2 linked regions of the Mus musculus genome follow. Each later gene encodes a partner of the first gene's protein in a complex. Links are inferred from orthologs where the notes say so. Each region holds a gene or a part of one and is shown on either strand. Other genes may lie near its edges. The genes, in order: Itga2b and Itgb3.

Region 1 (4,345 bases):
GTCACCGCCAAGCTGAAGCCTGCTTCACAGTATCGCTTGTCTCCGCCTACAAGAGGCAAGCGGGGATCAGCCAAGGGGAGGTCCCCCGAATGTGCGCTTAAGCCAAGAGCCCCGCGTGGGCAGGGGGAACTATGCAGAGCCCGGAGGACATGGAGGCGGGGCCCAGGGGCGTGGTGTAGCGGAGGGGCGGGCCCCCGGGGCCCGAGGTCCTTGGTGGGGCGGGGTTGGCAGCGATCAGTGGGCGGAGCGAATGGCAAACCAGAGCTTACGAAAACTCTCTGCGTAAACGGAGCTCATGGTGTTGGCGCGACAGGGCGAGTACTCTGCGCGGCCCCCGCTTTGGAGCTGAGCCAAGAAGCAGCCTCCTACCGGAGTCTTCTCTGCCTCATCGCGCTTTTCCAGGACATTCCAGTGCTGCCAGGGGGCACAGGCCTAGAGCAGACCCACAGGAGAGTAGGGAAGGGGGCTTATTCGGGCTTCCCCCAACGTGTCCCTACCCTGGATTTGCTCCCTTTGACTTGTCCACAGTACCCACCACAATGACGTCATTCCAGCTGACGACCGACGCCCCAAGTCCTTGCCCGGTCTTGAAGGTTTGGAAAATTTGGAAGCCTAGGTTTCGTGTCTCATCCCCTGGAGGGCACAAGTAAAGGTGGAGCTCTGGAGCCCGGCCATCCATTTCCACCTGGGGACCCCCTTTCCCCTTCATTCTTGAGACTCACTGAGGTCGAAGAGCAACGGGTTGCACTTGCCACCATTGGCCTTCCAGGGGCACAGGAATACGGCTCCAGTCTCCTCTTGACTTGCGTTTAGGGCCCTGGGGGCGCCCACCACGATGGACACGCTGTGTAGGAAAGCTGGATGAGCACAGGTTATGGCCTTTCTATCCTGCCCGGTGCCCACTGCCCCAGCAGTACCTGGAAGGAGGCGTGGCATAGGAAAAACTGGACCACCTTTCCTCACAGATAGTCCTTTGAGGACAACCTCTTCATTTTAGCTGAAAGTGGATTCTTAGGAAATTAACCTGAGACTAAACCAGTTGGTTTGGTTTGGATGGGAAGGCTTTAATAATCCTTACTGAAAAGACCTGTTATGCTTCCTTTGTACACCGATTTCCCTCACCCTCACTCCCTCCCAACAAGAACCAGACAAAATGTCTGCCTGTCAAACTTCTAGAGAGATCCCTTAGCTAGACCTGGTTGAAAGGGGGAAGGCCGGGGAGAGCTCACTGGGATGTACGGTACTGACAGGGTTGAGGAGCCTAGCAGATCTCTGTTTAAATCAGGCCTGCCATATGTAAAATGGAGGTAATGACAACCAATGTTGCTGTTGGAAGAGTAAATGCAATAATTGTATGAGAGGTATTTAGTATGATCCGGCAACATGCTTTTGTAAACGTGTGCGTTAATAAACACACAGGATGCTTATTAAATCGTGCCCATGTGACCAGACCTTGGGGAATGAAGCAGGAGACCGGAAGAAAAGAAAGGAGTTGAACAGAGGCACTCAGGAGCTCTGATGCCAGGAGGGTTTCGTTTGGTTGGTTTTGTCTATTTGTTTTGAGATAGGCTCTCTCTATGTAGCTCTGGCTGTCCCGGAGGAAACTCACTATTTGGATTAGCAGGCTGGCTCTGCCTAACTCTGCTTTCCAGTAAAGGAGATTGGTTAAAGGTGTCTGTCATGACACCCATCAGGAATTCTATGTATTTATTCTGATGGAGTCTTGTTATGTGGCCCTGGCTATTTAACTTGTGGTAGTTCTCCTGCCTCAGCTTCCAAGTCCTGGGTTTGCAAGCACATGTTACCACACTCAGCTAGAGAAGTGCCCTTTAGAATCATTAGAATTGAGGCAACCCTGGGTTCTTCCCCATCACGAATAGTCTCTGCGTGCAAGCCATCTTGGGAAGGGGACCTGATTTTTGATGAAGTGGCTCTCTCAGGCAGAAGAAATAATTTCTTGCAGCTGTCTTTGAGAATAATTACTATTCCCCAGTCCTGGGCAATCCAGTGTCCATCTCAATAAGTCACTCAGGATAAACACAGCTATGTAGATGAGCCAGGAGTCTGACCTCAAAGCCTGATCCATACTGACTGTTAGTAATCTAATACTTCTTTTCAAACATCTGTAATTTGGAAGGAGGTGAGGCATGGAACGGAGGAAAGCAAGGTGTACCAGGTAGGTACTTGTAGCTTTGCCAGTCAGTTTAGGGTGAGGGGAGGGAGGTAAAGCCGGTCACATCACTGACACTTGGGGAAAAGGAAAAAGGAAGACATCAGCTTTAAACTTTTGTGCTCATCTCCCCATTGCTATCTCTCCCCAGTACCCACCCTGGAAACGGTCCTCCATTGACAGGAGCTCCACTCAGACCGGAGAACTGACCTTGCTCATCTAGGTACTGAGAGAGTCCACAGGAGCAATTCGAGGGTGCAGACCTCTCTTAACGCCCATATGTCCTTTAGCGCTCACCTTCCATGTTTGTCCTTATGAAAGTCCACTGAGAAGCCAAAGTGGCTGCCATTGGGACCTGCATAGACGGAGAACTTCTCAGAGTCCAGGTTCAAGGCCCAGACTGGAGGAACAGCACTAGGACCCAAGAACAGTGGTGTCCACTGCAGAAGCCACAGGGAATGCCATGCGCAGGAGGCTCTGGCCATCTTCCTTCTTCCCAAACGTCCTAAACAGGAATGGGCCAGCTCTTTCCCTTTCCCTGAAGTTCCCACCACCGGAAGTTTCAGCTTATCAGACTGGAGCTCATGGCTGAGCAGCAGGCATGGCAGAGGGCAATAGCCTCTAGACGTCGACTAGGACGGGGGAGGGCCCACCCCGGGGATGGATGCTGATGGCTGGAAGTCACTGCTTCCCCTTCCTCTCCAGGAAAGCTCACCTCCATGTCCTGTTGTCTCTGTTTCTCAGCCACAAGCCCGGCAATCCCCTTTCTCTTTCTCTTCCTCTGTCACTGTGAAAGTCCAGCCACCATCCCTTTCTGCCTGGGAAAGTATAACCATGAATTCGCTGCCTGGCTCACTTTGCCATGGCCCACAGTTGTACAGCTCTTACCTCCCCCATGCAGCTGACCATCCTGCTCTTGAATGCTGTGATGTGGCCAAGGGGAGAGGAAGGAGTAAGCAAGCTGTTCTCCCCTGATAAGACCAGAGGCTGTCATCATTTTGAGTAGGACATTTACCCACTTCCTCCCCCATGAGCCTTTGGGCAGCCTCAGCCGGTTGCATTTGACCATCACTTTCCTCACGTCTCCATCTTGAACCAAGTCTTAGTGTGGTTACACTGGAGCCTTCAATACTGGGCAGAGGGGTGATGAATGGGTCTTGGCCTAAGTGGGGGGAGATGGAGCTAAAAGGACATCATTCTGAGGTGCGGCGTTCACAGTCCTCGAGGTTGAGCACCAGCTGTTCAAGTGAACAGCTTTGCTCCTTTTTGGTTGACAGTATCTACATAAATAAAATAGATTGAAAGATAGCTAGAATAGAACCTTCCAGAACTGTTTGTGGACGGAGTCACTGACTAGGAGAAACCTCGTGAGTCCTCAGGATGGCACCATGGCATACACACACATGGGCATGGTACCTGATGGCACTTTTTACTGGGTTGAGTACCCGAGTCCTTTGAGAGCAAGGGTTCTTTCTGCTGTCCTAGGGCCTAGCCCACAGCCCAGCATGTAGTGCTGCTGAAAGGCTGAATCTGAAGTCTTCCTAAAGGATGGAAGGAGTAAACAAAGTGAGGAGGGTCAGATTCTGCGTAGAAATATTCTTCTCGGGCTGGAGAGATGATGGCTCAGTGGTTAAGGGCACTGACTATTCTTCCGAAGGTCCTGAGTTCAAATCCCAGCAACCACATGGTGGCTCACAACCATCCATAATGAGATCTGACACCCTCTTCTGGTGTGTATGAAGACAGCTACAGTGTATTTACATATAATAAATAAATAAGTCTTTAAAAAAAAAGATCCTTCTCTATGGGGGTAGGGGGCAGAGAGCAGAAGAGCACCACGCATGCCCTGATGGTCTTGCTTGCCTTTTGCCCCAAGGCAAAGGGTCGTAGGACTATAGCCACACCCTCCTTTAAGTCTTTTCTTTTTTCCCCTCCTTTTCTGCAGTGCTAGGGATAGCCTTTCGAATGCAGGACAAGTGCTCTACCATGAAGCCATGTCCCCTCCATCTTTATTTCCATGAATTAACCACTGCCTTATCCTACTTTACCACTCTCCCCTCTTCTGAAGCACTCCTAACTCTTCCCTTCCTCGCATGCCTCCCCTTAGCACACAGCCTAACATTTTACCCCTCACTAAGCAGAAAGCTCCTTGGATTTTATTCAGGGCTCTCTTCA
Region 2 (3,806 bases), about 2.2 Mb from region 1:
AGGGTCTCTCTCATTCTATATGCAGCCCAGGCTGGCCTTTACCTTGCAATCCTTCTGCCTCTGCCTTCTGAGTGTTGCGATTAGGAGTCTGAGCTACCATGCCTGTTATTTTTTTTTCTGGTCTGGAGGCTGAACCCAGTATCTTACAGTATGTTAGATATTACCTAACTACCAAGCCACTCCAGCCTACTCTGTTTTTTAAAGTCAATAAATAGAGGAACCACCTGTAAATGATCAAAGGCAGGACACTTGACTGGAGATCTCATGAGCTCCCTCACAAGGTCTAGGTTTCCACGGACATAGTCATGACTCGTACTGTTTCCTGGTCTCTCCACTTCCTTGGTATTAACCACATCCAAGCTGAGCAATGTCAGACAATGGGTAAGTCAGCAAACTTTGACACTAGTCTACCCAGAGCACTGAGCTGGAGCTGTGAGAGATGAAACAGCTATAAGGACCTACCTACTCTTAGGAGGTTTAGATGAAGAGAGAGGATTTATCCCTACACAGTATTAATAGCATGGAACTCATGATGTACACTAATTGGGTGGGTGACACAGTCAAGGGCTATTGGCAGTTGAAGGAGGAAAGCTCTTAGAAGCTGGGGTGGTCAAGGAGGGCTTCCTGGAGGAGGTGAGCTTAGGCTAAGGAAGGAGGAGGATTACCAAGATGACAGGTAACAGGAGAAATGAGCCAGGTCAGTGCTGAGGAGAAGAGGCAGGCGTAGGGGTGAGTGACATTTGGACAGTGAGGCTGAGATCATGTGGCAGGTGACCAGTAGAGCGAGGTTAGGGCATTTGCCCGTAATTCCACAACAGTGGGGCCCAGCCCATGGAGATGTTTTGAGCCTGAGCGGGAAGGAAGGTGCTTGGTTTTGGAGCCACCAGCCCAGGGTTCATAGCCGAGCTTCTGGGACTTTTTACCCTTTCACTCAGGCACTGCGCCATTTTCTGTTGCTAATGATACAATAGCACAGACACAGTAAGTTGGAAAAGAGCTTTCGTTTTGTTTTTAGAACTTGTGAATTTGAGGGACAGCATCTGGTGATGATCACGGCTGGCTGAGTCCCAAGACTCAGGCGGTCCTGAGGCAGGAGGTCAGGGAGCATGCGTGAGTCCGGAGGACAGGGAGCATGCGTGTGGGTTTCTGTCTTCATTGGTTTTCTTTTGTTAAGCTAGTGAGATTCAACTCTGGGGCCTTCTAATTCTCCTTACTTCCCAAAGACTTTACCCTAAATACCTTAGCGGTGTGTGTGTGTGTGTGTGTGTGTGTGTGTGTGTCCACTGTCTCAGCATCTCACAGGGGGAAATCAGTTTCAGCTCACGAAACCTGAGGGGTTTGCTGAAGCCACACCCAAACCATAACACTCACTTTGATTAGTGGGTAAAATCAAAGTTTCACATTGCTTTGGTCATACCCCAAATAAGACAGCCTCAAAGGCGTAGAATCCAGGGATGCCTGTGAGACGTGTCTATTAACCTTCACCTTTTCCCCGTTTTCAGGACTACCCATCTCTGGGGCTGATGACTGAGAAACTATCCCAGAAAAACATTAACTTGATCTTTGCAGTGACTGAAAATGTCGTCAGCCTTTACCAGGTAATTAGGGCTCTGGGCTTCTCTCTTGTCACCATAGGTGGGACCTGACCCCGGTGGCCAGCTCCTGCTTTCACTAGCCAGGGACCCAACCAGGAAAAAAATCCTTTTAAACTCATTCTCCAGGCTGCTTACATTCCTCCCTGTAGCCTTTTCCCTTCAACCTCTCACCTATAAGGAAACCTGTGGTGGTTTGCAATGGCGGCGGAGGTGACTCAGTGGGGGGAGGGGTAGAAAAAGGTTTTTGTTTTTTAAATAATGTTTCTTAGATATGAAAATATGCTAGATCTGTTTTGGTAGTAACAAGTAAGATACTTCACAGTGCCCTCCAAACTTAATTTTAAGACTGCCAGTTGGGCGGTAGTGGTGCATGTCATTAATCCCAGCACTTGGGAGGCAGAGGCAGAGGCAGAGGCAGGCAGATCTCTTGAGTTTGAGGCTTCCTGGTCTACAGAGCAAGTTCCAGGACAGCCAGGGTTGCACAGTGCAACCTTGTCTCCCAAAAACAAAGAAAGAAAGAAACAAACAAACAACCGCTGCCAGTCTGACGAAGGAGGACCTGAGGAGGAGACCACTTTCTTCAGGACGCTGTGGACATCTTTGTCTTCCTTTCTAGAATTATAGTGAGCTCATTCCTGGGACCACAGTGGGAGTCCTGTCTGATGACTCAAGCAACGTCCTCCAGCTCATTGTTGATGCTTACGGGGTAAGAATGCTGGCCCAGGAGGCCCTGGTGCGTCTGCTGGACGAAGCTTACTCATCAGCGCTTTTTAAAAAAAGAAGTACAAGAGGGATGTTGTGGTCTACGGCAGAAAACAGACACATAAATTTCCTTCAGGAAGGAAATTATATCAAAAAGCCGTGCTTGGACCTGTGGGTGGGAGAATATTAGATACAAACAATATAATAGGGGGACTGAACATAATAGGACCTTAAAGGTGACAAGAGGCTTCCCTGTAGAGCCTGAAGAGGAGCTTCATTAAGAGAGTGAGAGGTTCAGAGAAGGAGAGAGAGAGAGAGAAAGGAGAGAGAGAGAGAAAGAGAGAGAGAGAGGAAGACAGAGATACAGGACAAACTTCCATGATAGCAGTGGGAGGGGAGGCCCAAGGAGCCTCTCCAATGAGCAACCTTTATCTCCAAACCCAATCTTCTTGCTGAGTCTAAGACCAATCCCTAGAACAAAGGGAGGCTCCAGCTCTGTATACGCTTTAGGAGTGGCGGGAAGTTTCCAATCATATGGTTTGGTTGAACATCACACACAGAGAAGCCAGGAGGTACTATATACATTGAGAACAGTCAAGTCAGAGCACAAATTGTCTTGGAACTCTCTGTCCCAAAGACAGCTGCAGGGACTCAGGCTGTGGGGTCACTCCTAAAGGTGCAGGCCCATGTTCTAACAGAGCTCGGATTTGGGAGCCATCTGCCATTCTCCTGTATGGTCTTACTGCGTTTCCTTTATGCTCCCAGAGGTAGATGGTGGCCAGCCTTGGGAGTAATGAATGGCACCTTCAGAAATGGGCCAGAAAGGAAGGCCAGGGAGGAACAGGAACGGCATGTGGGGAGCTTAGAGGAGGAGGAGGCTGCAAATGGGGATTCGATGCCCAAGAATGCAGCTGTAGGGCAGAGTGAGGGAAAGCCAGGTCTCAGCCACATACAAAAGAGGTGACCGAGCATAGAGCCTCCATGGCAGCAACTGCCAGGTAAACCTCAGGGCAAGTCCAAGGCCACTGGCTTGGCTTTGTGTGGATGGACTTGGCTTTTGTCAGTGCCCTAACCTTCCTTTACCCTCTTCTGCTCAGAAAATCCGCTCTAAAGTGGAGCTGGAAGTACGTGACCTGCCGGAAGAACTGTCACTGTCCTTCAATGCCACCTGCCTCAACAACGAGGTTATCCCGGGCCTCAAGTCTTGTGTGGGCCTCAAGATTGGAGACACGGTGAGGTGGGCTAGGGGAGGGACTGATGCTGAGACTCTGACCATGGGCCCCGAGATCTGTGTGCATCCTGACCCTTTCCAGAATTAGGTGTTAGGGTAGTAGGGTTGTCAATCTTTGCCCGTGAAGCTTCGGATGCTTAAGGTTTCTAGAGCTGCCAAGGAAACCTATTATTTATTTTTTCTTAAAATGTCTATTTTGGTTTTCTGTGTTTGCACGTCTGATTGAAAGTGAAAATATCTCTTAACCTATCTCATCACCCAGGGTAATGCTTTTCTTT

Evidence for each region.
Region 2: the proteins of Itga2b (region 1) and Itgb3 are in contact, whole or in part, in a cryo-EM structure (PDB 8GCE), measured with the Homo sapiens proteins. The link is inferred for Mus musculus from reciprocal best matches to the Homo sapiens genes ITGA2B and ITGB3. Residues at the interface, in NP_000410.2 of Homo sapiens: Gln49, Phe52, Arg72, Trp141, His143, Asn145, Glu152, Ala153, Glu154, Lys155, Pro157, Arg184, Phe191, Tyr197, Glu199, Phe202, Pro217, Tyr221, Phe222, Phe262, Asp263, Tyr265, Tyr268, Thr290, Trp293, Thr294, Gln315, Met316, Ala317, Tyr319; in NP_000203.2 of Homo sapiens: Ser188, Pro189, Tyr190, Tyr192, Ile193, Ser194, Pro195, Pro196, Tyr204, Asp205, Met206, Arg242, Asp243, Pro245, Lys279, His281, Ile282, Ala283, Leu284, Asp285, Arg287, Leu288, Ala289, Gly290, Val292, Gln293, Pro294, Asn295, Asp314, Tyr315.

The regions. Positions count from the first base shown.
Region 1 is NC_000077.6:102,467,058-102,471,402, forward strand, and holds the start of Itga2b (integrin alpha-IIb precursor), read right to left. Parts: upstream 2,827-4,345; 5' UTR 2,656-2,826; coding exon 2,468-2,655; intron 845-2,467; coding exon 723-844; intron 634-722; coding exon 536-633; intron 433-535; coding exon 270-432; intron 47-269; coding exon 1-46. UniProt on the Homo sapiens protein: Integrin alpha-IIb/beta-3 is a receptor for fibronectin, fibrinogen, plasminogen, prothrombin, thrombospondin and vitronectin. It recognizes the sequence R-G-D in a wide array of ligands.
Region 2 is NC_000077.6:104,638,790-104,642,595, forward strand, and holds part of Itgb3 (integrin beta-3 precursor), read left to right. Parts: intron 1-1,502; coding exon 1,503-1,598; intron 1,599-2,211; coding exon 2,212-2,301; intron 2,302-3,394; coding exon 3,395-3,529; intron 3,530-3,806. UniProt on the Homo sapiens protein: Integrin alpha-V/beta-3 (ITGAV:ITGB3) is a receptor for cytotactin, fibronectin, laminin, matrix metalloproteinase-2, osteopontin, osteomodulin, prothrombin, thrombospondin, vitronectin and von Willebrand factor.